Linked DNA regions of Callithrix jacchus. The protein of the gene in region 1 purifies or fractionates together with the protein of each later gene. This does not show direct contact. Links are inferred from orthologs where the notes say so. Each region holds a gene or a part of one and is shown on either strand. Other genes may lie near its edges. The genes, in order: TOR1A and CANX.

What was found.
Region 2: the proteins of TOR1A (region 1) and CANX purify together in Homo sapiens (affinity purification with mass spectrometry; 4 studies listed by BioGRID and IntAct, counting the BioPlex papers as one, with this or other methods). This does not show direct contact. The link is inferred for Callithrix jacchus from reciprocal best matches to the Homo sapiens genes TOR1A and CANX.

The regions. Positions count from the first base shown.
Region 1 is NC_133502.1:178,405,630-178,420,523, reverse strand, and holds TOR1A (torsin-1A), read left to right. Parts: upstream 1-1,309; 5' UTR 1,310-1,373; coding exon 1,374-1,551; intron 1,552-2,285; coding exon 2,286-2,551; intron 2,552-6,348; coding exon 6,349-6,524; intron 6,525-6,621; coding exon 6,622-6,749; intron 6,750-11,723; coding exon 11,724-11,974; 3' UTR 11,975-12,978; downstream 12,979-14,894. UniProt on the Homo sapiens protein: Protein with chaperone functions important for the control of protein folding, processing, stability and localization as well as for the reduction of misfolded protein aggregates.
Region 2 is NC_133503.1:71,966,530-71,981,794, reverse strand, and holds the start of CANX (calnexin), read left to right. Parts: upstream 1-5,958; intron 5,959-6,013; coding exon of another isoform or gene 6,014-6,031; intron 6,032-6,939; 5' UTR 6,940-7,060; intron 7,061-15,265. Other genes in the region: CBY3 (sperm annulus positionning complex subunit Chibby3), read right to left, coding at 5,302-5,958, 6,014-6,031. UniProt on the Homo sapiens protein: Calcium-binding protein that interacts with newly synthesized monoglucosylated glycoproteins in the endoplasmic reticulum. It may act in assisting protein assembly and/or in the retention within the ER of unassembled protein subunits.

The DNA.
Region 1 (14,894 bases):
GAAAAAGGCATTAAGTCAAAGTAAGGAAATCCGAATAAACTGTACACTTTAGTTAATAATAATATAACAGTGCTTCATTAATTGTAACAAATGTTGCACACTAACAATTTGATGTTAGTATGCGGGCGCGGTGGCTCACGCCTATAATCCCAGCACTGTGGGAGGCCGAGGCGGGTGGATCACGAGGTCAACAGATCGAGACCATCCTGGTCAACATGGTGAAACCCTCTCTCTACTAAAAATACAAAAATTAGCTGGGCATGGTGGCACGAGCCTGTAGTCCCAGCTACTCGGGAGGCTGAGGCAGGAGAATTGCTTGAACCCAGGAAGCGGAGGTTGCGGTGAGCCAAGATCGCGCCACTGCACTCCAGCCTGGGTAAACAAGAGCGAAACTCCGTCTCAAAAAAAAAAAGATTTTAGTAACGAGAAATTGCAGGGAGGAGTGGCACATGGGAACTCTCTGTACTATCTTCTCAATTTTTCTGTAAATCTGTTCTAAAAAAAAAAGTCCATTACCTTTTTTTTGGCGGGGGGAGGAAAGAGACTCACTCTGTCGCCCAGGCTGGAATGCAGTGGTGCGATCTCAGCTTACTGCAACCTCCGCCTCCCAGGTTCAAGCGATTCTCATGTGTCAGCCTCCCCAGTAGCTGGAACTACAGGTACACACCACCACACTGGCTAATTTTATATTTTTAGTAGAGACGTGGTTTCACCATGTTGGTCAGGCTGGTCTGGAATTCCTGACCTCAGGGGATCCACCCGCCTCAGCTTCCCAAAGGGCTGGGATTACAGGCGTGAGCCACCACGCCCGCAAAAATAACCTCGATTACTTTAATTTTTTTTTTTTTTTTGAGACGGAGTTTCGCTCTTGTTACCCAGGGTGGAGTGCAATGGCGCGATTTCGGCTCACCGCAACCTCCGCCTCCTGGGTTCAGGCAATTCTCCTGCCTCAGCCTCCCGAGTAGCTGGGATTACAGGCACGCGCCAGCATGCCCAGCTAATTTTTTGTATTTTTAGTAGAGACGGGGTTTCACCATGTTGACCAGGATGGTCTTGATCTCTTGACCTCGTGATCCACCCGCCTCGGCCTCCCAAAGTGCTGGGATTACAGGCTTGAGCCACCGCGCCTGGCCAACCTCGATTACTTTAAACAAACAAACAAAAACACGTGGCCGACAAGGGCAGTGCAGAACAGACCTTCCGGAAGCAAAACAAGGCTTTGTCCCGAAGAAAGATGGCGGCCGCCGGCGTCGGTAGGAGGGCTGCCCTGAAGAAAGATGGCCTTCGCGGCAGGAGGAACCGGAAGCGCGAGTCTGGCGGCGGTACTAGTGCGCGGTCGGCGCCAGAACGCGCAGGGCGGCGCGGGTCCGGGCATGAAGCTGAGCCGGGCTGCGCTGGGCCTGCTGCTGCTGGCGCCGTCCGTGGTGCAGGCGGTAGAGCCCATCAGCCTGGGACTGGCCCTGGCCGGCGTCCTCACCGGCTACATCTACCCGCGTCTCTACTGCCTCTTCGCCGAGTGCTGCGGCCAGAAGCGGAGCCTCAGCCGGGAGGGTAGGATGGGGAGGGGGCTGGAGGCTGGGGCTGGGGCTGGGCGATGGCACTGGGGCCAGGCCAGGACCTGGGGATGGAGGCTGGGGGATGGGGGATGGCACTAGGGCCCGGCCCGGATAGGGGTCAAATCCCAGGACGGCCGGGCCTGGGCAGAGCTGAGTCCACGGGGGCTGAACCCCGGAAGCCGAGCGGCCCGCCTTCAGGATGAGGCCTGGCTCCTTGGCCACGACCACAGACGGGCCAGACTTCAGTCGGTGACCAGAGGAGCCGGTCTGCAGGTTGGGCTGCTTCGCGCCACGCTGGGCAGGAGGGGGAACCGGTGGTAACCTCCCTCCGAAGGGGGTTCTGCCTCCTAGCAGAACGGGAGACAGGAAGGATGGTGAGGACTCTTCCGGAGCCGACAGGAGCGGCCAAACTGCCTCCCTTCCTCGCTCTGCCTTGGGGTGGGAGGAGCAGCACAGAAGTTAGGGGTGCAAACTGGTGGCTGTGGCATGGGCACCGAGGCCCTTTTCGGGAAGGAGCCGGGCCAGGGCTTTAGAATAGGCAGGACCAGCAAAGGGAGGCCCTGGACCGCCGTCCGCACTGGGCCAGGAGCTTACAGCCCGTAGTACTTAAGGTTTCGCAAGGTGCTTGAAGAGCGCCTAGGCGGCTTTGCCGGCTTTCTCATGGGCTGTAGATGTGGCTACCTTTTGCCACTCTTTCTTCCCCACTCCCGATTGCCTTTGTCTTTCCAGCGCTGCAGAAGGATCTGGACAACAAGCTCTTTGGACAGCATCTTGCAAAGAAAATCATCTTAAATGCTGTGTTTGGTTTCATAAACAACCCAAAGCCCAAGAAACCTCTCACCCTCTCCCTGCATGGGTGGACGGGCACCGGCAAAAATTTCGTCAGCAAGATCATCGCGGAGAATATTTACGAGGGTGGTCTCAACAGTGACTATGTCCACCTGTTTGTGGCCACACTGCACTTTCCACATGCCTCAAACATCACCTTGTACAAGGCGAGGATGGAAGTTTGGGACCCTTTCCTGGATGTCGTGGGGTTTGGGATCTCTTTGTTGTGGGATGAGATTTGGGAATTCTGTGTTGAAATGAACAAGTCCTGAAATGGTTCACGTCTCAGTTCCCCTTTGAAAGGTGTAGAAATTACAGAGAGTTTGGGCTGCATGGAGCAGTTAACACCATCAAAGCTGCATTGTGGTGGGTTCTGGAAACAGGTCCAGTGAGTACCTACGGTCATGGAATTTTAGGGGTGGATGTGATCAGATCCATCTTAGAGATCATCACATCTCACTCCTTGTCTTTCTTTTTGTTTTCTTTTTGTGTGCGTGAGACGGAGTTTCATTCTTGTCGCCCAGGCTGGAGTGCGGTGGCATGATCTCAGCTCATTGCACCCTCCACCTCCTGGTTCAAGCAACTCTCTTACCTCAGCCTCCTGAGTAGCTGGGATTACAGGCATGTGGTACGACACCCAGCTAATTTTTGTATTTTTAGTAGACATGGGGTTTTGCCAAGTTGACTAGGCTGGCCTCAAACTCCTGACCTCAGGTGATCTGCCCGCCTCGGCCTCCCAAAGTGCTGGGATTACAGGCGTGAGCCACCACGCCTGGGTACATCTCATTTATTTTGTCAAAGAGGAATCATATGTAGCAAGTCCTAAATTGGCTGAACCTACTGCCTCCAAACTGCTTTTTTTTTTCTTTGTGACAGAGTCTCACTCTGTTGTCCAGGCTGGAGTGCGGTGATGCCATCTTGACTCACTGCATTCTCTGCCTTCTGGGTTCAAGTGGTTCTCCTACCTCATCCTCCCAAGTAGCTGTGACTACAGATGTGTACCACCACACCCAGCTAATGTTTGTATTTTTAGTAGAGACAGAGTTTCCCCATGTTGGTCAGGCTGGTCTTGGACTCCTGACCTCAAGTGATCCACTCACCACAGCCTCCCAGAATGCAGGATTATAGGTGTGAGCCACCTCATCCAGCCACAAACTGCTTTTATGGTTGAACTCACTGATTAGCAGCTTGGGCTTTGGCAGCAGACACACCTGGATTTGAGTCCTAACTTTCCTAGCTCCAGAGTCTTGGGAAAGTTGCCTGATCTGAGACATAGGTTCTGACTTACAAAGTGTTGCTTGTAACAATCCAGGGAGCTCTGTCAAGTGTGTAATGTGCCTGGTGCATATTACAAACAGTTGTTAACTGTTGCCTTGTAGATCCTTGTAACAGACCCTGCAAGATGGGCAAAACAATCAGTTTTTTATTTTATTTTATTTGAGACTGAGATCTTGTGTGGCTCAGGTTGGAGTGCAGTGGCGTGATCTTGGCTCACGGAAAGCTCTGCCTCCTGGGTTCAAGCTATTCTGCCTCAGCCTCCCAAGTAGCTGGGACTACTCGCGCCTGCCACCACACCCAGATAATTTTTGTATTTTTAGTAGAGATGGGGTTTCACCATGTTGGCCAGGCTGGTCCTGATCTGACCTCAGGTGATCCACCTGCCTCGGCCTCCCACAGTGCTGGGATTACAGGCATGAGCCACTGCACCCAGCCGCAATCCGTTATTTATCCCGGACTCTTCATAGGAAAAGTGTGGACACGTTTTTCTTTTTCTCTCTCTTTTTTTTTTTGATAGAGCCTCTCTCTTGTTACCACTCAGGCTGGAGTGCAGTGGCACGATCTTGGCTCACTACAACCTCCGCCTCCTGGGTTCTAGTGATTCTCCTGCTTCAGCCTCCTGAGTAGCTGGGATGCACCACCACACCCGGCTAATTTTGTATTTTTAGTAGAGATGAGGTTTCTCCATATTGGTCAGGCTGGTCTCACATTCCTAACCTCAGGTGATCCGCCTGTCTCAGCCTCTGAAAGTGCTGGGATTACAGGCATGAGCCACTGCCCAGATACATTTTTCCCTTCTGTCTGGGTAAGCAGGTGGGTCACCCACTATCTAGTGGCTCTGTCTGGGTAAGCAGGTGGGTCACCCACTGTCTAGTGGTTCTGTACTAAAACAGGAACGTTCTATGGATGTGGTGGCTCACCCCTATAATTCTAGCACTATGGGAAGCTGAAACTTGAGCTCAGGAGTTCTAGACCAGCTTGGGCAACATGGTAAAACCCCATCTCTACTAAAAAAATACAAAAAATCTATTCAGGCTTGGTGGCACGCACCTGTAGTCCCACTTACTTGGGGAGCTGAGGCAGGAAGATGGCTTGAAACTGGCAGGTTGAGGCTGCAGTGAGCACAGAGCCACTGCACTCTGGTCTGGGCGACAGAGGGAGACCCTGTCCCAAACAAACAGGAACCATTCTAGATAAATCAGGATGAGTTGGTCATGGTAGAACTGAGGTTTCACTAAGAATAACTGTGTCTTTGGGCAAGTTACTTCACTCGTTTGTGCCTCAGTTTCCTGATTTGTAAAAGGAACACAACAATAACTACTATGATGGGTTTTAGGAGGTCACAGTAATATGTTTTGTGAACAGGCCAGGTATGGTGGCTCACGCATGTAATTCCAGCAATTTGGGAGGCCAAGGCTGGGGGATCATTTGAGGTCGAGATTTCAAGACCAGCCTGGCCAACATGGCGAACACCCACCCGCCACCCCCCCGGTCTCTACAAAAATATAAAAATTATTTGGGTGTGGTGGCAGCTACCTGTAATCGCAGCTACTCAGAAGGCTGAGGGAAGAGAATCACTTGAACCTGGGAGGCAGAGGTTGCAGTGAGCCAGGACCACACCACTGCACTCCAGCCTGGGCAACAGAGTGAGACTCTGTCTCAAAAAATATATATATGGGCCAGGCGTGGTGGCTCACACCTGTAATCCAAGCACTTTGGAGGCCAAGGCGGGCAAATCACCTGAGGTCGAGAGTTCAAGACCAGCCTGACCAACATGGTGAAACCCTGTCTTTAAAAAAAAAAAATATATATATATATATATATATATGAACAGTCCTTAGAATATTGTCATGCCCATAGTGAGTGCTCAGTACGTTTCCTATTACCACGTATAAATTGGGTCACCAGAGTAGGAAAACCTTGGCTGCTGGAGCTTAACAGGTCTGGGTGAATCCTTATTTATTTTATTTATTTTTTATTTTTATTTTTTGAGATGGAGTCTTGCTCTGTCACCCAGACTAGAGTGGCAGTGCGGCGATCTCAGCTCACTACAACCTCTGCCTCCTGAGTTCAAGCGATTCTCAAGCCACAGTCTCCGGAGTACCCGGGATTACAGGTGTCTGCCACCATGCCCAGCTAATTTTTGTATTTTTAATAGACGGGGTTTTACCATGTTGGCCAGGCTGGTCTCGAACCCCTGACCTCAACTGATCTGCCTGCCTCAGCCTTCCAAAGTGCTGGGATTACAGGTGTGAGCCACCACGCCCAGCCCCGCCCCCTTTTAAAATAAAGATCAGTATCCTCCTGACATCCCACATGACCTCTTTGGTGACAAAAGAGCAGCAGCTCTCAGCATCCATGTGGTGTCTTGCAGTGCAGGAATCAAAGTGTTGGGCTTTGGCGTCAGGCAGGACTGGGTTCAGGTCCCAGCTCTGCCATATACTCATTTTATAGTCGGGCAAGTGGAGTAAGCTCTCTCTGTGCCTCAGTTCCCTCATCTGTGAAATGTGTATGAGAGTGCCCACTCCACGGGGATGTTAGGAACAGAGAAGATTTTGCACGTGTGAAGTTCTTGGTGCTGAGGGCACAGTGGTCTGTAAGTGAAGCTGTGGCTCTCAGTGGCAGAAGGAGGTGCCCGATGGCCCTGGCTGAGAACTTTGTGTTGGCTTTTCCCCTTCTACTTCAGGACCAGTTACAGTTGTGGATTCGAGGCAACGTGAGCGCCTGTGCGAGGTCCATCTTCATATTCGATGAAATGGATAAGATGCATGCAGGTCTCATAGATGCCATCAAGCCTTTCCTTGACTACTACGACCTGGTGGATGGGGTCTCCTACCAGAAAGCCATCTTTATATTTCTCAGGTAAGGTCCGGGCTAGGACATGAGGGACGGGCCTCGAGCCTGAGCCTCTGAGCTCTGGGAGAAAACCCCGTCCTTACCCACTGGAACTGTTTTGCAGCAATGCTGGAGCAGAAAGGATCACAGATGTGGCTTTAGATTTCTGGAGGAGTGGAAAGCAGAGGGAAGACATCAAGCTCAAAGACATTGAACACGCCTTATCTGTGTCGGTTTTCAATAACAAAAACAGTGAGTAGGGCTGTCCACCACCAGTCCCATCTGGTTCCTAATCCTGCACCCTAATTGTGAAAGCGTTAGGGTCACCATCACCATCACCTGGGAGCTGGGTAGAAATGTAGATTCTCAGTCCCCTTCCGAGTCAGAACTCACGAGGGGAATCTTTGTTGACAAACTCCAGGTAACTTTAATGAACACTGATGTTTGAAAAGTGCTATTTTATTTTTATTTTTTTGGAGACAGTTTCACTATTGCCCAGACTGGAGTGCAGTGGCAAGATCTCGGCTCACTGAAACCTCCAGCTTCCGTGTTCGAGCAATTCTTGTGCCTCAGTCTCCCTTTTAGCTGGGATTGCAGGTGCACACCACCATGCCCGGCTAATATTTATATTTTTAGTAGAAATGGATTTTGTCATGTTGGCCATGCTGGTCTTGAACTCTTGACCTCAGGTGATCTGCCTGCCTGGGCCTCCCAAAGTGCTGGGATTACAGGCTTGAGCCACTGCGCCCAGTTTATTTTTTGAGACAGGATCTTGTTCTGTCACTCAGGCTGGAGTGCAATGGTGTGATCTCAGCTCACTGGAGTCTTGACATCCTAGGCTCAGCCACCCACGTAAGTGGAACCACAGACTTGTGCCGCCGTCTCTTTTTGTAGAGATGGGGTCTTCCTATGTTGCCCAGGCTGGTCTTGACTTCCTGGACTCAAGTGATCCTCCTGCCTCAGCCTCCCAAAGTGCTGGAATTACAGGCATGGGCTACCACACCTGGCCTGCTATTTTAAGTAATGAGGAAAATTGTTGGTCGTTGAGATCTTGAAGATTAGTTCCCCCCTCCCTTTTTTTCTTTTTGAGATGGAGTTTAGCTCTTGTTGCCCAGGCTGGAGTGCAGTGGTGCTGTCTCAGCTCACTGCAACTTCCACCTCCCAGGTTCAAGTGATTCTTCCACCTCAGACTCCTAAGTAGCTGGTATTACAGGCGCCTGCCACCAGACCTGGCTAATTTTTGTATTTTTAGTAGAAACGTGGTTTTACCGTGTTAGCCAGGCTGGTCTTGAATTCCGGACCTCAGGTTATCTGCCCAATCCGCCCATCTCGGCCTCTCAAAGTGCTGGGATTATAGGTGTGAGCCACCACGCCCAGTCAGTTCCCCCATTTTCTTCAGCTACGTGATTTTCTTCGTAGAAGAAAGAGCCAGTGGTTGAGCAAGGAAGGCTGCCGTGGGCAGCTCAAGGGGAGGGATGACCCATTAGTTACTCCCTTTCTCTGCATTGCCCAAGAGCAACAGCCAAATCGTGGCCGGACCCTTACTCTGTACTGGGTGCCGTGTGAAACACTGCCTGCGGATTTCACTCAGTCTTCCCCATACCTTGTAGGGTAGAGACTGAGACTCAAAGATATATGGCAGCTTGCCCAGGGCCAGGCAGCCTGGGAATCTTATGAGACCTTTGACCTTGAACCCAGGGAGGTAGAAAGCCAGCTTGATGGAGGCCGACTCACCAGCTGACACTTGTGGGTTGTACAGGGCTGTTCACACCTTTGCTCCTCAAGTTCTGGAGATGACAGAACAGAAGGGCACATTTGAAACAGACTTGCCAGGAAGTTCATGCTACAGTTAGTGAACAGCGTGGGGCACTGTATGTCAATTTGTGCAAGTGGAATACTACTGAGGCAAGACAAGTATTTTGTAACATGCTGGACAGTTTCTTGGCTTGCCAAAAAGCATGCACACATGCCGCAGAAACTGTAGAAATGCTGAGGTGGATGAGGCTAGTGGCCCAGAACCCACGCAGTGGAGGTTACACGGCATTCCGGAGTGCAGACTTGGGAGTCGCGTAGCCCTGGCCCACAGACTGACTGTGACCCTGGGTAGATGGCTGAACTCATTCAGCAGACGTATGTGGAGCATCTGGTAGGTTCCAGGAATCCTACCTAGGACTGGGGATAGCCGTGAACAAACACAGAAATTCTTGCCCTTAGGCCAGGCGCAGTGGCTCACACCTGTAATCACAGCACTTTGGGAGGCCAAAGTGTGTGGATCACTGGAGGTTGGGAGTTCAAGACCAGCCTGACCAACATGGAGAAACCCCGTCTCTACTAAAAATACAAAAATTAGTCGGGCATGGTGGCACATGCCTGTAATCCCAGCTACTTGGGAGGCTAAGGCTGGAGAATTGCTTGAACCTGGAAGGCAGAGGATGCAGTGACCTGAGACTGTGCCATTGCACTGCAGCCTGGGCAACAAGAGTGAGACTCCATCTCAAAGAAAATAAAAGAAATTCTTGCCCTTATAGATCTTACATCCTAGTGATAAGAAAGAAAGAAAATGGACCGGGTGCAGTGGCTCTTGCCTGTAATTCCAGCACTTTGGGAGGTCAAGGCAGGCGGATCATGAGGTCAGGAGTTCAAGACCAGCCTGGGCCAACATGGTGTAACCACGTCTCTAGTAAAAATACAAAAATTAGCAGGGTGTGGTGGCGAGTGCCTGTAATCACAGCTACTCGGGAGGCCAAGGTAGGAGAATCACTTGAACCTGGGAGGTGGAGGTTGCAGTGAGGCAAGACCGTGCCATTGCACTCCAGCTTGCCTACACAGCAAGACTCTGACAGAAAAAAAAAAAGAAAGAAAGAAATGAGAAGAAAGGGAAAAGAGAGTATCAGATGGTGGGGGATACATATGTTTATGTGTTTAATGTGTTCATGTGTGTATATACGTGCAATACATACGCACACATCACACATGGACACACATAAACATATATATCTTTCCCCTCAGGGCTAGGAGGGGAAAAAATCAAGAAAGACATTGGGGTACAGGGTAAGGATGGGCTCTACGTTAATAGAGTGGTCAGGAAAAGCTCCCTTTGAGGGTGGCATTTGGGCTGACCCAAGGGCATGAGCCATGTGGATGTCTGAGGGAAAGCATGCCCCAGAGCCAGCAGCACTTCCAGGGGTCTGAGGGGGCCTGTGCTTGGGTCACTGTGAGTGGTCCAGGATAAACAGGAGGGGAACAGGAGGTGATAGAAGAGCTGAGATTTGGGGTGGAGATATAGACCATGGAAAGCCTTGTGGGCCATGTGAGCCTTGGTTTTTATTCCAAGTGGAAGAGAGAGGCTGCAGGGTCCAAGGCAGGTGGTGCTCTGATCTGACGGGGTCTTCACAGGAGCTTGCTGGCCACTGGGTGGAGGACAGACCCACAGTCACAGGGGCAGGGAGCTCAGCACGAAAGCAGTGGTGGTGGAGAGACACGGTCGGGTTCTGGGTGTGTTTTGAAGGTAGAACCTGTAAGACTTCCTGCAGAATTGTACATGGGAATGAGAGAAGAACCAAGGACCTGGCTTGAGTGATGGGAAGGATGGCCCTGCTATTGAAGGGAAGTGACAGCAGGAAGGATGGATGAGCTCAGTGAGCAATGGCATCTGGGACATCAGAGCAGAGCGGTGGAGCTCCAGAGAGGCCTTCAGGCTAGGAGGGCAAACCTGGGAGTCCTCAGGAGATGCTTGTAAAGTCTCAGGGCTGCCTGAGGTCACCTGTTCTGCTGACACTCCCTGGTCCGTGTAGCTGGGTCCTAGTCGTTCAGGCACTGCCCTGAGGTCCTGCCCAGCCTGGCTTCATGGGAGCACCTGGCCCTTGCCTCCCGCCATCATGTCTGTTCTGTGTAGCATTTGCCGCTCCCAGCACCATCTGAGATTGTTTCCTAGCACAATTGTCGGGTGTCTCCTGCCCTAGCGTGGTAAAGCCGTGAGGGCTGGCTGCCCTCAGCTGTGTCCCCAGGCCCAGGGCATGGCTGGCACAGAGCAGGCCTCCAAGAACGAGCCTCGCACGTGAGCTTTCGATAGCAAGACTGCCCCTTGTTCCTGTTCAGTGGTTGGTCCTGTTCTTTCCCTGGCCACGAGCTCCACTCTATCCAGTCGGCCACACATTTACTGAGCACTGGTTGTGTGCAAAGCACTGTTGGGCATGAAAAGCATTAACCCGGTGATTGAGGAGGAGCTTGGGTTGGGGACTGGGTCCCGGAATTACCTGGCAGAGCAGAAGGGAAACAGCTCACGGGAAGACACCCTTGGGCTGGTGGACGATGCAGTGTGTGTGTCATCTGGGGCTGGGAGCGGATGTCCTGGGTCAGGAGCTCCAGGAGTAGTAGACGGGGCAGGTGCAAAGCCTGTCCTCACTCAGGGGAGAAAACAGGGCCGAGGCCAGGCCTTCATGGGGAGCTCAGTGTGGGCTCAGCACTCCCGAGGCTAGTTTTGGTGCCCACATGCTCTATAGGGGTTGGGCACTGTGGCAGTGGCAGCAGGCTTCTACCCTGTGGCTGGTCCAGCTGCTGAAACTTCAGGAGAGTCAAAATTTTCCCAAATAAGGGGGTGTGGCTGGTAGAGTCGTTCCCGGAACTCTTCCTGCTTCTGCTTTCTGTGGAACTCGGCCTTCCCCACTCCGCACCTCTGCTTATTCCTGGGCCCCAGGACCCTGGGCTCATGACCTTCTTTCCCACCTGCGATCTCTAAGTCACACCTTGGGAGGCCTCCCCCAGCTGCAGTGTAAAAGAGGGTGTCCCTTTCTACTCTGTCACAGAAGCATCTCAGTGTGCAGGTGCCTGTTAACATCTGCTCCTCATTGGTCCGGAGCTTCATAAGGGAGAGGGCACAGCCAGTAGATGTGTGTGGAATGGATGGGAGGGTGACCCCCAGGAGACATGTGTGGGACGGATGGGAGTCCCACATGTTTAAAATTTTAAAACATTAAAAAAAATTTTTTTTTAATTATGTTTTAATTCCAAGTGTTTCTGTTTCAATGAAGGGTGAATAAGTTTTACTGAACATGTGATAACTTTATTTAAAATGGTTTTTAGCATTGTGAGAGACTGCTCAGATTCTGGGTGTGTAGGTGGGTGACCCCCAGTAGACGTGTGTGGGTGGGGTGGTGAGTGAGCCCAGGAGAAATGTATAGGGCGGGCGGGTGGATGTGGATGAACAGCACTTGTTTTTTCTTCCAGGTGGCTTCTGGCACAGCAGCTTAATTGACCGGAACCTCATTGATTATTTTGTTCCCTTCCTCCCCCTGGAATACAAACACCTAAAAATGTGTATCAGAGTCGAAATGCAGTCCCGAGGCTATGACATTGATGAAGACATTGTAAGCAGAGTGGCTGAGGAGATGACATTTTTCCCCAAAGAGGAGAGAGTTTTCTCAGATAAAGGCTGCAAAACCGTGTTTACCAAGTTAGATTATTACTACGATGATTGACAGCCATGATTGACAGCGAGAGTCACTGCCTGGAGTTGGAGAGGAAACTCCACACTCAGTCCTTCCCATGCCTCTGCCCCCTGCTCCTTTCCCTGAGGAGGACTCAAGTGAATGTTTCCTGTTTGATGTGACAGGAATTCTCCGGGCATGGTTTCCATCCCTGGTGCCTGCAGGCCACCTTGGGACCATGGGCGAGGACAGGAGGCCTCCCGAGCCCTCAGAGAAGGAAGGAGCCAGCTCCCAGCACACTCATCGCAGGGCTCATGATTTTTTAAAAATTATGTTTTAATTCCAAGTGTTTCTGTTTCAAGGAAGGATGAGTAAGTTTTACTGAAAATGTGGTAACTTTATCTAAAATGGTTTTTAACATTGTGAGAGACTGCTCAGATTCTGGGTTGTTGGCCTTGTGTGTGTGTTTTTTAAGTTCCCATCATCATAACATAGACTGTGATGTATCTTTACTGCAAATGAGCCCAAGCGCACGTGCATGGCATCGGTTCCACAGGAGGGCATCGCTGGGGATGTGGCTGGAGCACGAGCCAGCTCTGTCCCAGGAGGGTCCCAGCAGGCGCTGCCAGGGCAATGAAGTGTTTAGATGAAGGACAAGTAGGTAAGAGGAGACCTTTAGGCACTGCAGATAAGCCTGAAATGGCCTCACCAAGGGTTTTAACCTTCACAACAGTGGGAGCTGTGGGAATGATCTTGGCAACATTGTCAGCAATTGTTAGAAAAGCATCTGCAGCTTGTCACTTCCCAGTCACTGGTGTTGCAGAAGGCGGCCCTTCACTGTCCATTCCTGAATGAGCCACATGTGCTCTCTGCTGGAATCTAAATTATGTGAATTTTGCCATATTAAATCTTAATTTATCATATTTTCTGTTATGTTCAATCAGAATTCCCAAAACCTAAAAAGCTTAGCTGCCCCTTCTGAGGATGCTGAGAACTGTGTCTTTATTTATAAATGCAAATGGCTACCATTTTACAATAAAATGTTGCGTGTGTCATTGGTTGAGTACATTTTTGAAGAGGGTGTAGGCCTTATGAGGTGAGGCTACCAGTGAAGACCTAGCAGGTCAATCCAGGTTGGAATGAAACAAAGTCTCACACAGAGCTCTAAGGATCCTAGGACACCTCTGTCCCCTCACCCAGTGATCTGGGAAGTTGCCCTCCATCGGGGGTTCTTGGAGCTCCTGATGTCCAGCCACAGAGTTCAAGTACAGCTGAGATGCCAGCAAGAACGGTGGCGTAGACTAAGCTAAGCACACCTTGTTAGGCAACACGCCTGTGTCCCTGCATTTGGGCTGTGCTCCCATGGTTACAGCTGCTGCAAGAGTGCTGCAGGGACTGCTTCTAGTAGGCACAGAGACAAGTTGGTGGCCTCAGCTGCAGGTCTTATGCAAGACTCCTCTGCCTTATGGCTCCCCAGCCTGCATGGGGTTCCCCTAGGGCAGCCCAGGCCACTTAAAGATGGTTCCACCTGTTAGAAAGTTCTGGATGTTGAGCTGCAGCCGGCCTGTTCTGCCCCTGGGAGTCAGATTAGGTCTAATCATACATTTGAAGACTGGCCCTGGCATCAGAAGTCCCTAATTGGGGAACACAGGGGTCCCCTGACAATTTTGGAAGGTTCTGTCTTTGTAGATGAGGCAGTGTGGGGTGGAATAGGAACTGCATTAGACTGAGAACAAGACCTAGAAAGTTGGTCTCCTGGGAATTCAGTACCTTATGTTGAGAAATTCCTAAGGGAGTGGGTGAGGTGATGGCGATGCAGGTTTGAACTTTCTAGTAAACCTGCTAATCCTCAATCCTTTGAAAGAGGGTGAGTGTTAGCTATTCACTGATGTGAGATGATACCAGGTTATGTGTCATTAAGCAGAGACCAGATTAGCACAACTAAGATTAGTTTACCAGTTTCAGGCAGTGAGACCCAGTGGTTAGGTTTCCTCACCTGGGCTCAGGTTCAGGATGTCAGAGGTGAGTCATACTTTACTAGTACCTCAATTTCCTCTATTAATTTTGGGAGAAAGTATTTGTTGGAAGTCCATATCTTTGATGAAATATCCATCAGCTAATTTAACTTCTATTTGGGGTAAGAGTATTTAAGGTAAATATTGCCTCTGTATCACTCTGACTGCCCACCCGCCTGTCCAGGTTATGGCAAGTCTCAACAGCTGTGCTGCTGAAATTCATTTTGAACTTTGATACCAAATAAACCAGAAAAAGAAGTTAGCAAGTGACATTTCACATGATAAAATCTGGGCTTTATTATTTCATATTCGGTAGGTCAATAAAGCTCCCATCCACATCTTACAAGGCTGGGGGGAGGTGGGGTCATGATCAACCATGGCCTTTTCAAGTTACAAATCAGCAACAGCAGTCCAAAGGTGGCGAACACGTATTTATTGCATCATTGTAAACAGAGAAAATCTTGTCTCCTCTGGACCAGATGCCCAACAGGTTAGAAAAGTGTAACTTAGCTTCACTTTGAGGATACGTAGTAAAAAGTGTAAGCCTCACCTTGGTGTTTTTTAAAGACTTAAGTGTGACACCCTATAAGGCATTTCCATGTCACAAATTCTACCATATTTTTTTGTAAAAATGCACGTTCTGATTGTGTCTGCAGCTGTGCTGTGATTATGGGAGATACAGTGACTCACACTGGCTGGAATCTAAGTCTCACTTCCCAGGGATCAGGGCAGTCCAGCCTGGCACTGCCACAGAGGGTGGTACCATCAGATGACACCCAGGAGCTGCCACAACTTTAGACTGACCTTGTTTGATCCACATTGTGACCATGTATTACCACAAATTTAACAATAAAAAATGGTTTTAAGAGTATCTGAGAAAGGAATAAGCAATCATTCCATGATGTGTCCTTCCCTCGTTTTAAAATAAGCAATGTCCTATACTTCCATTATTTAAG
Region 2 (15,265 bases), on another chromosome or scaffold:
CAGGTTCAAGGAGGATGAGGATGCTGACGAGCCTCACCTGACCTGATGTGACCTTTGTTTGTTATGCTGGAAATCCCTACAGGCAGGTGAAGGATGCCCAGAGAACATCCTCCAGGGAACACACCCTCTCCATAGCAGCCTGTGAGCCTGCTAGGCTGAGCCCTCCACAGGCTGCTCTAATGAGAGATAGGCTGAGGTGCTGGTCCAGCTACTACATGCAGGATTCTGAGGCCACACACCATGTTCTTGTCTGCAGTGCCACTGAAGCTCATTTGAGGGGACCCAGCTCTGCCCTCCCAGCCTCCTGAAGCCAATAGGGAGCATCACCAGTTTGTCATGAGCAGACATTGGGGCTGACCATGAACCCCCACGTTTCATGCCTCCTGGGAAAGGTGTGAGAGGGAGGGAGGCACCCCCGGGCTTTGCCATGCTGGCAAGCAGCCCACCCAGCCCAGCACTGCACACCCGCGGGCACTCAGTAGATCCTGGTGTCAAATAGGGGAAAAGCCAGGATCCAGGACCCCCTGGGGTGTGCCCAGTCCCAGCAGCTCCTCAGCCTCCATGGAGCCCTGGGGCCTGGGGTGGCCTCCTGGCCCCATTTCTCAACATGAGGTTGGAGACTTCTGTGTGTAGAGAGCACTGGCTTGGGCATCGATAGTTCTGTGTCTGTGTCCGATGCCAACAAAAGAAACCCTGGAAGACAAGTCAGGGCTGTGGTCACTTGGGAGAAGTTAAGGGGCACGATTCAGGGAGCCACTGTTTTAAATGTATTTTCCTATTCGAAATTTACATATACATACAAATGTGTGTTTGTCTGTATTATATATAAATACTTTAAAACGTAGTGTTTTCTGTAATCCTTTTATGCTGGAATGTATTACGTGGGAAATGTGTGTTTTGCCAAAGCATAATGATTTCCTGAATGAAAATGCACAGACAGGGTTGGTGGGGTGTTGGAAGGACCAAGTATTCTTAGGCCGTAACGATGACATGCTCCAGGAAGCTGCACACATTTAACGTGCAGTTCTTCCATCTGGATGGCATGGAGGGTCCAGGGGGAGGGCAGGTCACCACCCTGCCCTGTGTCATCAGACCTCCTGCTCCTCCCAGGGCCCGAAGGGATGGGACTCTGCCTGTTGATCTTTGAGCCTCCGCCTCCCTCTGCATCTGTTTCAGTATCTGGGTGTCCAGCCCCCTAAAGATGCCCACGTGTGTGCCTGAGCTCAGTGCCTCCTACAGGACATTTATAGACACTCTGAGCACAGGCAACCCCCTCACAGAGAGCAGCACCCAGGCCAGAGCCCTGTGGACAGACTCTGGGGAGGCCAGGGCCCCAAGGTCACCTTCCAGGGCCTGAGGAGCCCTCTGAGACCTGCACACCCACCCCAGAGAGCTCCTCCTCCTTCCTCCTCTATGCTCCCCAGTGACCTTTGAACCTCTGTGTTGCAGATTTTTTGAATATCTGGAAGGACCTGGACACAAGACCTCACCCTGGCCCAGCGACCATCTGGATAGTGAGAGTTTTAGGGACTGTGCTACATACACTTTCTGGACTTTTATATTGTTTAATTTTTAAAAAAATATTCTTGGCCGGGCGCGGTGGCTCACGCCTATAACCCCAGCACTTTGGGAGGCCGAGGCGGGTGGATCACGAGGTCAAGAGATCAAGACCATCCTTGATCTCTTGTGTTTTTAGTAGAGAGAGGTGAAACCCCATCTCTACTAAAAATACAAAAATTAGCTGGGCATAGTGGTGCGCGCCTGTAGTCCCAGCTACTCGGGAGGCTGAGGCAGGAGAACTGCTTGAACCCAGAAGACGGAGGTTGCGGTGAGCCGAGATTGTGCCATTGCACTCCAGTATGGGTAACAACAGCGAAACTCCATCTCAAAAACAAAAACAAAAAAAAAAATTCTTACTTTAGGCTAGGCGCAGTGGCTCATGCCTGTAATCCCAGCACTTTGGGAGGCCAAGGAGGGCGGATCACTAGGTCAAGAGATTGAGATCATCCTGGCCAACATGGTGAAATCCTGTTGTGGGCAGGCGACTGTATTCCCAGCTACGCGGGAGGCTGAGTAAGGAGAACTGCTTGAATCCAGGAAGCGGAGACTGCAGTGAGCTGAGGTTGTGCCACTGCACTCCAGCCTGGTAACAGAGCAAGACTCCGGCTCAAAACAAAACAAAATTCTTACTTTTTTTTGTAAGACAGAAGCTGTCATTGTAGCTTACATTTTATTCCTTAAGTAATTTTTCAATTGTTTTAGTTTTTTTTAATTTTTGTCCAATTATTCTGGAATTTTCATAATTTTGACAGATGTTTTATGCTTTGTATTATTTTCTTAATGACTTTTACCTTAGTTTTTAAAAAAAAATCCATGGTACAGTAAGTTATAGTAAGACATAGTATTTTTATTTTAGTAGTTTATATTCTGTACATATTTTCACATATGTGTTAATGTCCAGGCATGGTGGCTCACACCTGTAATCCCAGCACTTTGAGAGGCCAAGACAGGAGGATCATTTGAGCCCAGGAATTGGAGACCGGCCTGGACAACACAGTGAGACTTCATCCCTACTAAAAAAATATACACACACATATAATATTAGCTGGTCATGGTGGCTAAATTTTTATTTTGGCTTATTTATGGTGACTTATCTTTTATTTTTCATGAAAATGGGGTTTTACCATGTTGCTCCGGCTGGTCTCACACTCCTGGGCTCAAGAGATCCTCCCACCTTAGCCTCTGAAAGTGCAGGGATTACAGGCATGAGGAAGACAAGATTTTTTTTCCAAGATAGAAGACCCAATGAGATCCTTACTCCTGCTTCATCTTTTTTTTTTCTTTTTGAGACTGAGTCTTGCACTGTCACCCAAGCTGCAATGCAGTGGCGTGATCTCAGATCACTGCAACCTGTGTCTCCCAGGTTAAAGAAATCTTCCTACCTCAGCCTCCCACATAGCTAGGATTAAAGTCTCGTACCAGCACACCCAGCTATTTTTGTATTTTTAGTAGAGGCAGTGCTTCACCATGTTGGCCAGGCTGGTCTAAAACTCCTGACATCAGGTGATCTGCCAGCCTCAGCTTCCCAAAGTGCTGGGATTACAGGTGTGAGCCACCACAGCCAGCCCTCATCTCGCCTCTTGCTTGACAAACCTACACAACCTTTTTGACCTACATAGCTCTATTCCCCAGAGGATTCTGAGCTGTAGGAGGTAAAAGCCAGGGTCCTTTGTTCCTGCTTTCTACTCTGTCACTTTCATCTCCTGGGCCAATGAATTTGGCTGTTCCCAAGCAGGGCTCAGGACCAGGGTGTGAAATTCCAGAGCAGGAAGAACAAAGTCAGATATTAAAAAATGTCATCCTGATCCATTTAGTTCAGGTCCTTGATCCACTTGGATGCCTCTTTCTAAACAGGACCTGCACTGGGCTGTGGGGCTTCCTGCCTGCTGCAGGTTTGGTGGGACAGGTACCTTTCTCTGCCCTAGGACTGTATTTGTTTTCAGGTAGTCTGGCCAAAGCAATATTCGCTAAACTTAAGCATTCCTGGATCACCTTTATGAGTTTTGCTATTTTGGCATTCTACATTTAAGTTTTTCTTTACTTTTTTATGTAAAGTGTCTTCCTCCTTTTACTTATTTGTGATAAAATTCACATAAAATTCGTTTTGAAGTATACCATTCAGTGACCTTTATTATGATGTTGTGCAACTATCACCACCAGAGTTCTAATTTCTCCTCATACCAAAAGGAAGCCCCATTGTGTTTCCCCCCAACACACACACACAAACTCCCTCCTCCCACCCCTTGGTAACTTAAGCTGTTTCTATGAACTTGCCTATTCTGGAATTTTTTTTTTAAGAGGTTCTCATTAGGTTGCCTAGGCTGACCTCAAGCTCCTGGGCTTAAAGGGACCCTCTCACCTCAGCTTCTTGAGTAGCTGGGACTTCAGGTGTGTGCCAGCATGCTTGGCAATTCTGGATTTTTTTTTTTTTGAGATAGGGTCTCATTTTGTTACCCAGGTTGGGGTGCAGTGGCGTGATGTCGGCTCACTGTAACCTCCACCTCCTGAGTTCAAGCAATTCTCCTGCCTCAGCCTCACGAGTAGCTGGGATTACAGGTGCCTGCCATCACACCCAGCTAGTTTTTTTGTATTTTGGTAGAGATGGGGTTTCACCGTGTTGTCCAGGTTGGTCTCGAACTCCTGAGCTCTGGTAATCCACCCGCCTGTCTCCCAAAGTGCTAGTATTACTGGCACCCGACACGGCTCTCAGCCAACTTTTGGTATTTTTAGTAAAGAGGAGGTTTCAGCTTGTTGGCCAGGCTGGTCTTGAACTCCTGACCTCAAGTGATCAGCCTGCCTGGGCCTCCCAAAGTGCTGGGATTACAGCCGTGAGCCACCACGACCGGCCCCAATAAATCTGGATTTTTAATGTGTTATCTCCAAATTCTGAAACCTTGGCAACAAATGCAATTTTTAAGATTGTGGGTAGAGAAGACCGCATTCTATGGAAGCATAAAAGGAGGCCTGTGCTGGGCGCGGTGGTTTACGCCTGTAATCCCACCAGTATGGGAGGCTGAGGTGGGAGGACTGCTTGAGCCCGGAAGGTCTAGGTTGCAGTGAGCCATGATCGCGCCACTGCACTCCAGCCTGGGTGACAGAGCCAGACCCAGTGTTTAGGGAAAAAAAAAAAAAAAAAAAAGGAGGCCTGTAACAGAGACGCAACTCTCCAAAATGCCACACCGGCAAGTGGGGACCGCACAACCCAAGGTTTCGAGAAAGCTTCTCTTGGGAATGTAAAATACACTTACCCTAGGACTCCTAGTTTCTAAACCTCCTGATCCTAGAGGCCCAGAGGACCGACCAAGTGCAAAGCCCCCCCACACTGTTCTCAGCTCCTGCCGCACCGCACCCTCTATTCCCTGAGCGCCACGGTTCCTCCGCCTGCGGGACTTCGCCCTCGGTTACTTGTATGGCTTGCAAGGCCATTACCTGCCACTCCACCCTGTCTGGGCCCTGCCCGAGGCAAGCCTGGCTTCCAGCCCGCGCTCCCGAAGTCACGCGCAGACCCTCCTCCACGGCCCCATCGCACCCTCCCGAGATGCGTTGCTTAGGGTTGCGTCCCCCGCCGACACCCAGCACCGAGGGGCAGTCCCCGAGGCCACGCAGACCGCCCCCGCCCGCACGCAAAACCTCGCCCAGGGAACAGAAACCGCCACAGTCCCTGGCGGGTCAGGGTTAGTCACAAGGAACGAGGCGCGCATGCGCAGCGCGGGCTTTATTACGTCACTGCGAGTCCAGAACTCAAGGCTGGATCCTGAGCACGTCCCCGCTGGCGCCTGCGCGCTTGCGCATCTTCCTCTGTCGGGCGTGCGCTGCAGCAGCCGGAGTCACCTCGAGGTTGAGCTGCTTTTCCAGCAGGTGCATGCGCGCCGTGGTCTCAGTCAGCATATTCATGAGCACTTCCTGCTGCAGCTTCAGGTAGTTGCTCTCCTTCAGCAACACCTGGATCGTGGTCCACTGCTCCTGCGCCTTCCAGCCCGAGACGGTCGGCGCCAAGTGACCCTCCGTTGTCCACCGGCCGCCGCGGAACTCGAAGGCCTGGTTTTCGAGGCGTATGCGCGGCGCGCCGTAGCAGAGGCCCAGCTCGGCCTGGCGCTTGCTGTAATCCAGCAGGTAGGAGGTGGACAGGGAGGAGATGCGGCGCGCTGGCGGCCGCCGTGGCGAGAAGCGCCGCGAGATGTGATCGGCCCAAAACTGCCGCAGCTGCTCCCACACGTGGCTGGCATGGCTCGTAGTCAGGCACTCGAAGGTTGCCATGGCGAGTGCTGGGTGGACCTTGTAGGGCACGCAGGTGCTAGGAGGGGAGCCTCGGGAGTGCTGGCGACTCCCCAGCACTGGCTGCGCTCTTGCCTCGGGAACCTGGATGTCCAGAATGATGAAGGCGAGCCAGAGGGGCTGCTGGGAGGCAAGAGTATGAGTGAGCAGCTTGCTCAATACAGGCTGCCTATCAAACCTCGAGGCCGGTGGACATGGCTTAGCCCTGCAGCTAGGGTTGCGGCTGTGGCTAACCAGGTGCTGGCCACCGAGGAGCCCGTCCCTCCACGCTGCACAGGCAGCCGTCTCACCTAAATCACCTTACCCAAAGACCACTGAGTATCAGGCGCTGGGATAAATATGCAGATGAAGGACGCTAGGAGCGCCCTGTTCTCTTAGTTTCAGCTGGAAGGGTGAGGGGTAGGGAATGGTAGCAGAGACAAGTAGGTATTGAAAGGAGTAGGACTTTGCCAGGTGAGCTGAGGATGGAAAATGGAGAGCAGAAAGGCAGAGGGAAGAGCCAAGCAGGGTTGTTTGTTTATTTGTTTGTTTTTGTTTTTATAGACGTAGTTTCGCTCTTGTTGTCCTGGCTGGAGTGCAATGGCACGGTCTCTGCTCACTGCAACCTCTGCCTCCCAGGTTCAAACAATTCTCCTGCCCCAGCCTCCAGAGTAGCTGGGATTACAGGCACCCGCCACCATGCCTGGCTAATTTTTTTGGTATTTTTAGTAGAGATGGGGTTTCACCATGTTTGCCAGGCTGGTCTCGAACTCCTGACCTCAGGTGATCCGCCCACCTCTCCCTCCCAAAGTGCTGGGATTACAGGTGTGAGCCACCGCACCCGACAGGACTTTCATGTTTCAGATGTGAACACGAGCTTGGATAGGATTGGTGCTGAGAAGAGCAGAAGAGGAAGCTGGGAAGGTGGACCGGGGCACTATGTGAGGGTGCTGCACAGGCAGGCTCAGAAGCTTATACTTCTTTTTGTGTGTAAGAGGGAACTGCTGAAGGCTTACAAAGCTAGGGTTAGATCTGGATTCTGGAAACAATCTGGGAGGGTGTCTAGCATAGCCAACAGCATGATTGCCCTCATCATTCAGTCAACTAGCATATTCTCTGTGCCAGGTCCTGGTCTTGGAAGGAGGACCTGAAACAGCCTCTGCCTGCCCTCAAGATGCTCCTGATCCAGCTTGGAAGACAGATGCCTGTGTAGACCACGGTCCAGTGTGTTCACTGACATCCTAGGGTGTGTGCCATGGGCTAGAGCTATGCATAGGGCTCAAAGTAACAGACATGACAGATTGTGCACACTAGACATGACTTTTGTTCCAAACATATTATGTCCTAAGGGAATCCAAAGTCCAGATAACAGACAAGTCCCATTTTGCTCACTTCTCCCTGTACTCCCCTGCCCAGTAAGTGCTGATTCTATTATGTGAAAAAGGGAGCTATGTGTTTTTGTTTGTTTGTTTTTGTGATGGAGTCTCGCTCTGTAGCCCAGGTTGGAGTGCAGTGGCATGATCTCAGCTCACTGCCACCTCTACCTCCCGGGTTCAAGCAATTCTCCTACTTCAGCCTCCCTAGTAGCTGGGACTACCTGCACATGCCACCACGCCTGGCTAATTTTTTGTATTTTTAGTAGAGATGAGGTTTCACAGTGTTAGCCAGGATGGTCTCAATCTAACTTTGTGATCTGCCCGCCTTGGTCTCTCAAAGTGCTAGGATTACAGGCATGAGCCAACACACCTGGCCAAGGAGTTATATGTTGTTTTTAATTTCTCTTCTGCCCATGGACAGTGAGAAGAAAAAGAATTTGAGCAGGCTTCCCTCTTATACCTTCGTTAATTCATAACACACTTATCCCTCACGTATAGCTGGGCAGAGGCTGGATGGTACATGCCATCCCCAAGATGTGGTTTAGGGAGATGGTCTCTGGAAGTCCACATCTAGGCCCACCCTTGAGATTGCATCTTGTCAGAGGACCCTTCCCCATTAGTTCTCACTGTATGTTGTGCCTCACCTGGAAGATGTGGTGGAGTTGCTGAGCTCCTGTCCCAGGCCTGGCTCCGTCTCTGACCCACTCAGCTAGTGTCTACCTGCTATGACTCACAATGCCTCCAGGCCAGGCTATCCCAGGTCAGAAGGGTTGCTGAATGCTGAGCTGTCAGACAGACCCAGGGCTCTCTGCTGCATGCATTCAGTGCATCATTCATCACGTACTGTTTTCTAGGAACAATTCTAGGGAAGTGAAGAAGATATTGCCCTCATTAAGCTGTCATCCTTGGCAGGGGAATGAAGGGGGTGGTCATAAGCAGAGTCCAAGACAGGAATTTGTTCTAGAGGAACCAATAAGATAGTTTCTGAGGAAGCTAACAGAGGGTGTCATGGGTCAGGTTCCCTAGAAGCAGAGCCTAAGATGATCATTCTTGCTCGAGTGAATTATTGGGGAAGTGCTCTCAGGAGAAGAGGGTGAGGGAAGCAAGACAGGGCAGGGAAAAAGGCTAAGGCTGAGGCAGAGTGTGGTCTCACATAGAGACTAGCTTCCGCTTGCTGTCATGGAGAACTGTGAGCACAAATGGCATCACACTTAGGCCTCCTTAAGGCAAGGGAGCCAGTCTTTTGTATCCTTCTACATGTTAGTTATGGCAGGGGCAGCTAAGAGTTACCAGGCAGCACCTAGAGCACCTATGGGATGAGTGCACCACCAGTGATAGGAATTTTGGTGGAGCACCAACTGAGCAGGGAGGAAGATAATAGAATAGATGATGGCAAGGTGCAGTGTGGCTCACACGTGTAATCTTAGCACTTTGGGAGGCCAAGATGGGTGGATCACCTGAGGTCAGGAGTTGGAGACCAGCCTGGCCAACATGGTGAAACCCTATCTCTAGTAAAGCTACAAATACAAAATTAGCCAGGCGTGGTGGCATGGGCCTGTAGTCCCAGCTACTCAGGAGGCTGAGGCAGGAGAATCCCTTCAGGCTGGGAGGCAGAGGTTGCAGTGAGCCGAGATTGCGCCATTGCACTCCATCCTGGACAAAAAGAGCAAAATTCTGTCTCAAAATAAAAAAAGGAATAAGAATAGATGAAAATGAAAGGGCAGACTGGCCAACATGGCAAAACTCCACCTCTACAAAAAAACTATTAGCTGGGCATGGTGGCATGCGTCTGTAGTCCCAGCTACTCAAGAGTCTGAGGTGGGAGCATCACCTGAGCTCAAGAGGTTGAAGCTGCAGTGAGCAGTCATTGTGCCACTGCACTCCAGCATAGGTGATAGATACCCTGTATTAAAAAATTCAAAAAAAAAAAAAAGTGCCGGGCACCGTGTTTCACACCTGTAAATTCCAGCATTTTGTAAGGGCAACAAGAGTGAAACTTCATCCCCCCAACCCAAAAAAAGGAATGACTAAATGAGTAAGAATGCCTAGGCCAGGCATGGTGGCTCACGCCTGTAATCCCAGCACTGGGAGGCTAAGGTGGGCAGATCACAAGGTCAGGAGATAGAGACTATCCTGGCTAACACTGAAACCCTGTCTTTACTAAAAATACAAAAAATTAGCCAGGTGTGGTGGCATGCACCTGTAGTCCCCGCCACTCAGGAGGCTGAGGCAGGAGAATCACTTGAACCCAGGAGGTAGAGGTTGTTGTCAGCCAAGATCACATCACTGCACTCCAGCCTGGATAGCAGTGAGATTCCATCTCAAAACACACACACACACACACACACACACACACACACACAAAGACTAGTTCTGATATGTACAGTGAAGAAAACAAAATTGAAATACAGAAAGTGATTTGGGGACAGGGTGAGGGTAGGAACTAATTTAGTCATTGTGCTCAGTGAAGGCCCTTGACGTTCATGCTAAAACCTGAACAATGAGGAGACCCCAGTCCCTTGAAGACTTCGGGGTTCAGGAAGCAAGTAGCTGGGCATGTTTGAAGGACAAGTGCCATGTGTGCAGACAGTGGAAGGAAATGAAATCTGTCTTACCTGCTAAGCCCACCCACTTGACTGCAGGGGACAGACCCAGCTCCAGGAGAGCTCAAAAGCTGGAGCAGAGCCCAGTGATAGTGCCACCTCCTAGGAAATTTCTGTAATAGTTTTATTGAGGTATAATTGACATAATCAACTACATATATTTCTAATGAATAATGTGAAGTGTTTTGATCATTTGTTATGTGAAATCATTCCCAAAATCGAGATAATGAAGTTATCCATCTGGAGTTATCCATTACCTCTAGAAGTTTCCTCTGTTCCCATCACTACATACTAATTTGCATTTTCTATTTATATGTGTATATATGTGTGTGTGTGCGCGTGCGTGTGTGTGTGTATTTATTTATTTATTTATTTTTTGGACAGAGTCTTGATTTGTTGCCCAGGCTGGAGTGCAGTGATGGGATCTCTGCTAACTGCAGCCTCCGCCCTCCCGGGGGAAAGTGATTCTCCTGCCTCAGCCTCCCAAGTAGCTGGGATTACAGGTGCCTGCCACCACACTGGGCTATTTTTTGTATTTTTAGTAGAGAAAGGGTTTTACCATGTTGGCTGGGCTGATCCTGAACTCCTGGCTTCAAGTGATCTGCCCACCTTGGCCTCCCAAAGTGCTGGGATTACAGGCATGAGCCACTGTGCCTGCCTCAGCATGTATTTTTTTGACATTGGCTTCTTGCAGCATAATTATTTTAAGATTTATCCCTGTTGTTGTATTTATTAACAATTCTTTGCTTTTTATTGCTGAATAGTATTTCATTGTATGGAAACACCACACAATGTGTTTTTCCATTCAGCTGTTGATGCACATTTGGGTTGTTTCCAGTTTTGGAGCTATTGCAAATAAAACTGCCCTGAACATTTCTGTTGTCTTTGCCTGGACACATGCTTTCATTTCTCTTGAGTAAATGCCTAGGAGTAGAATGGCTGGGCCATATGGCAGGTGCTTGTTTACCTTTTTATGAATCTGCCAAACTTTTTCCAAAATGGTTGCACTGCATCCCCACCAACAGTGAGTGAAAGTTTCTGTTTTTCCGTATCCTCGCCAACACTTGGTTTGGTAAACATTGTTTTTTAAAAAAATTTGCTTAATTAAAAGTATTGGTGGTGTTTTTGAGACAGGGTCTCACTGAGGTGCCCAGGCTGGTCTCAAACTCCTGGGTTCAAGCGATCCTCCCACCAGGGCTACCCAAAGTGCTAGGATTACAGGCAGGAGCCACAGAGCCCAGCTAGTAAGCCTTTTTAATTTTAGCCATTACGGTAGCGTGTCTAAATTGTAGGGGTTTTGTTGTTTTAAATTTTTAACAGCAGGCTGGACGTAGTGGCTCACGCCTGTAATCCCAGCACTTGGGGAGGCCGAAGCGGACATATCACAAGGTCAGGAGTTTGGGACCAGATTGGACAACATGGTGAAACCCCGTCTCTACTTAAAAAAATAGAAAGATTGTGCCACTGCACTCCAGTGTGGGTGACAGAGCGAGACTCTGTCTCAGAAAAAAAGAAAAAAAAATTTTTTTTTAACAGCAAGCAGATTCTTAATAAATTTGTTTTCTTATTTTTTGAGATGGAGTTTTGCTTTTGCTGCTCAAGCTGGAGTGCAATGTTGTGATTTCAGCTCACTGCAAACTCCACCTCCTGGGTTCAAGCAATTCTGCCTCAGCCTCTCAAGTAGCAGGGATTATAGGCGTGCGCCACCATGCCTGGCTAATTTTGTGTGGTTTTTTTTTTTTTGAGACGGAGTTTCACTCTTGTTACCCAGGCTGGAGTGCAATGGCGCAATCTCGGCTCACCGCAACCTCCGCCTCCTGGGTTCAGGCAATTCTCCTGCCTCAGCCTCCCGAGTAGCTGGGATTACAGGCACGTGCCACCATGCCCAGCTAATTTTTTGTATCTTTAGTAGAGACGGGGTTTCACCATGTTGACCAGGATGGTCTCGATCTCTTGACCTTGTGATCCACCCGCCTCAGCCTCCCAAAGTGCTGGGATTACAGGCTTGAGCCACTGCGCCCGGCCTTAATTTTGTGTTTTATTAGAGATGGATGGGGTTTCACCATGTTGGTCAGACTGGTCTTGAACTCCTGACCTCAGGTAATTCGCCTGCCTCAGCCTCCCAAAGTGCTGGGATTATAAGCGTGAGCCACTGTACACAGCCTGCAGTTATTAAATGCTAGATAAAAGTCCTTTGTTGGATATGTTTCAAAAGTATTTCCTCCCAGTCTGTGGCTTGCCTTTTAGGGCAAAAGGTTTTAGTTTTGATGATGTCCAATTTACCACATTTTTTCCTTTTTCAGATTTTTTTGTGTCATATTTACAAACTCTTTGCCAAACATAAAGTTACTAAGATTTTTCTCCTGTGTTTCATTCTAGAAGTTTTATAGTTTTAGCTTTATATTTAGGTCTGTGCTCCACTTTACGTTAATTTTTGTTTATGGTGTTTTGTTTTTTTTTTCCACACAAATGCCAGACTGACTCAGCACCATTCACAGAAAAGACTGGCCTTTCCCACACTAATTGCAGTGGTGTTTGTGTTATTTATCACATGACTGTGGAGGTGTGGCTTTGCTCATCATGTGACTATGGATGTGGCTATTTCTGTGTTCTGTGTTCTTTTGCCTGGTCTGTTTATCCTTGCACCAATACTGTTGATACCTGGTAGTATAAATCTTCCAATAATATGTTTAAGATTGCTTTGGCTTTCTAGGTCCTTTGTATTTCTATATAAATTTTAGAATTCACGGCCAGGCACTGTGGTTCACGCCTGTAATCCCAGTACTTTGGAAGGCCAAAGCGGGTGGATTACCTGAGGTCAAGAGGTTGAGACCAGCCTGTCAATGTACTGAAAGCCTGTCTCTACTAAAAATACAAAAACTAGCCAGGCATGGTGGTAGATACCTGTTATCCCAGCTACTTGGGAGACTGAGGCATGAGAATCACTTGAACCTGGGAGGCCGTGGTTGCAGTGAGCTGAGATCACACCATTGCACTCCAGCCTCGGTGACACAAGGAAATCCTGTCTCCAAACAAAAAGAAAAAAACAGAATTCAAATGTCAGTGTTCACCAACAAACCCTCATGCTCATTATTTAAAGCTTTCTCTTCTTGTCATGAGGACACTCGAGCTCAAATCAACCCCAGGAAGGTCGCCTGATGGACATGGAATTGGAGCCCAGGAATATTTTAACCAAGACAGTAATTCATATTCATTCTTTCTCCACAGTGGGTCTATGTTATTAAAGTCAATTTTCAGTGAGGTGTGGTGGCTCATGCCTGTAATCCCAGCACTTGGGAGTCTGAGGTGGGCAGATCACTTGAGGCCAGGAGTTCAAGACCAGCCTGGCCAACATGTGAAACCCATCTCTATTAAAAATTTAAAAAAAAATTAGCTGGGCATGGTGACATGTGCCTGTAATTGCAGCTAATTAGGAGGCTGAGGCAGGAGAATCACTTGAAGCCAGTCTAGGTGACAGAGGGAGAATCTGTCTCGAAAACAACAACAACAAAAAACATATTTCAGACAGATCATAGGTGACCACCAGGAATGGTATACAACTTCCCTTATTTCATGGACTCCCAAAAAGAGAAAGCTACAAAACCCAAGGAAGTCGTTCTTTTTTCTTTTTTGAGACAGAGTTTCACTCTTGTTACCCAGACTGGAGTGCACAATCTCGGCTCACCACAACCTCCGCCTCCTGGGTTCAAGCAGTTCTCCTGCCTCAGCCTCCCAAGTAGCTGGGACTACAGGTGCGGCACCACCATGCCCAGCTAATTTTTGTATTTTTAGTAGAGACGGGGTTTCACCATGTTGACCAGGATGGTCTTGATCTCTTGACCTCGTGATCCACCCACCTCGGCCTCCCAAAGTGCTGGGATTATAGGCATGAACCACCCCGCCCGGCCTCTTTTTCTTCTTTTTTTAGTTCTCCCCTACTCCTCAATGTCCTTGTTTGATTATTTGAATAAGAGAAGTTAGGAGAGATGATGCGTAATTCCCACTTAACATGCATGTTAACTCCTTTCACAAGAAGACCTTGATTTTGAGGACATTTAGTGAAGACTTCAGAATTTAAAGATTTACAATTAAAAAAAAAATGGCTCATGGTTCCTTTGAGGATCCCCATCTAAGTCACTGAAAAAATGAAGTTTGGAGCCCATGAGGAAGGGGAGGGTGTGCCACCAGGTCCAACAGGTCTGAGTTGAAGGACAAAGTTTTTTCTGATGGCAGAAAGGAAAGGAGAAGAGCACCTGAAGATTTTTCCACATCACAAGCATTTGTACCACATTGGGGCTGTGAATCACAATGAGTGAGAATGTCAGTGGGTCTTTTCTGGCAAAGAGGAATATCCCCCAAACCAAGGAAGCTAAATCTTGTTTTTCCCCATGGAAGTTTCAGTCTGGCTTCTGAGATATTCTGTTAGTGATATTTGCCCATCCCTGAAACAACATGGTGTTTGTTCTCTGTGCTAATACAGCTTTAAAAAAATGTTGACTGGGCGCAGTGGCTTATGCCTGTAATCCTAGCACTCTGGGAGGCCGAAGCTGGTGGATCACTTGAGCCCAATTCATGACAAGCCTGGGCAACATGGTGAGGCCTCGTCTCCACAAAATATACAAAAATTAGATGTGGTAGTGGGCACCTGTACTCCCAGCTACTCGGGAGGCTAAGGTGAGAGCATCACCTGAGCCTGGGAGTTGGAGGCTGCCATAAGCCTTAATCACACCACTGGATTTCAGTCTGGTGACAGAATGAGACCCTGTCTCAAAAAATAAAAAAGATAAACAGGTATTTTTCTTTTTTAAAAGCACACACTTCACTCAGCACCTCCATTTTCTCTCTTTTTTGCAAGCTGCCTTTTCAGGAAGAACAAATTTACCATCTCCTCTTTGGTTCATCATTCATTTTGCCTTTTTCTTTTTTTTTTTTCTTTCGCCCAGGCTGGAGTGCAATGGTGCAACCTCCACCTTCCAGTTGCAAGTGATTCATTCTCCTGTCTCAGCCTCCCGAGTAGCAGGGATTACAGGTGCCTGCTACCACACCCGGCTAATTTTTGTATTTTTAGTAGAGACGGGGTTTCATCGTGTTGGCCAGGCTGGTCTCCAGCTCCTGACCTTGTGATCTGCCTGCCTTGGCCTCCTAAAGTGCTGGGATTACAGGCATGAGCCACCGCGCCCAGTGTTTTTTTCTTCTTTAGCTTCTACATCATTTCTTGGTGACAGGAATACATGGGATGTGGAGCAAAGGGGTGGCATTTGTGGTAACCTAGGCCAGGGCCCATTGCTTCTGTCCCTAAGCTGCTCTCAAGCAAACGTTCCCTAAAATTAATTCCATGGATGTTCCTCGGAATCTGCAGGTACTCTGTGAAAAAAAAAAATAAATTTTCCATTTTAATTTCAGTAAAAAAAAATCTCAAAAGTCACTTTGGGAAGCTGAGGCAGGTGGATCACTTGAGGGCAGGAGTTCAAG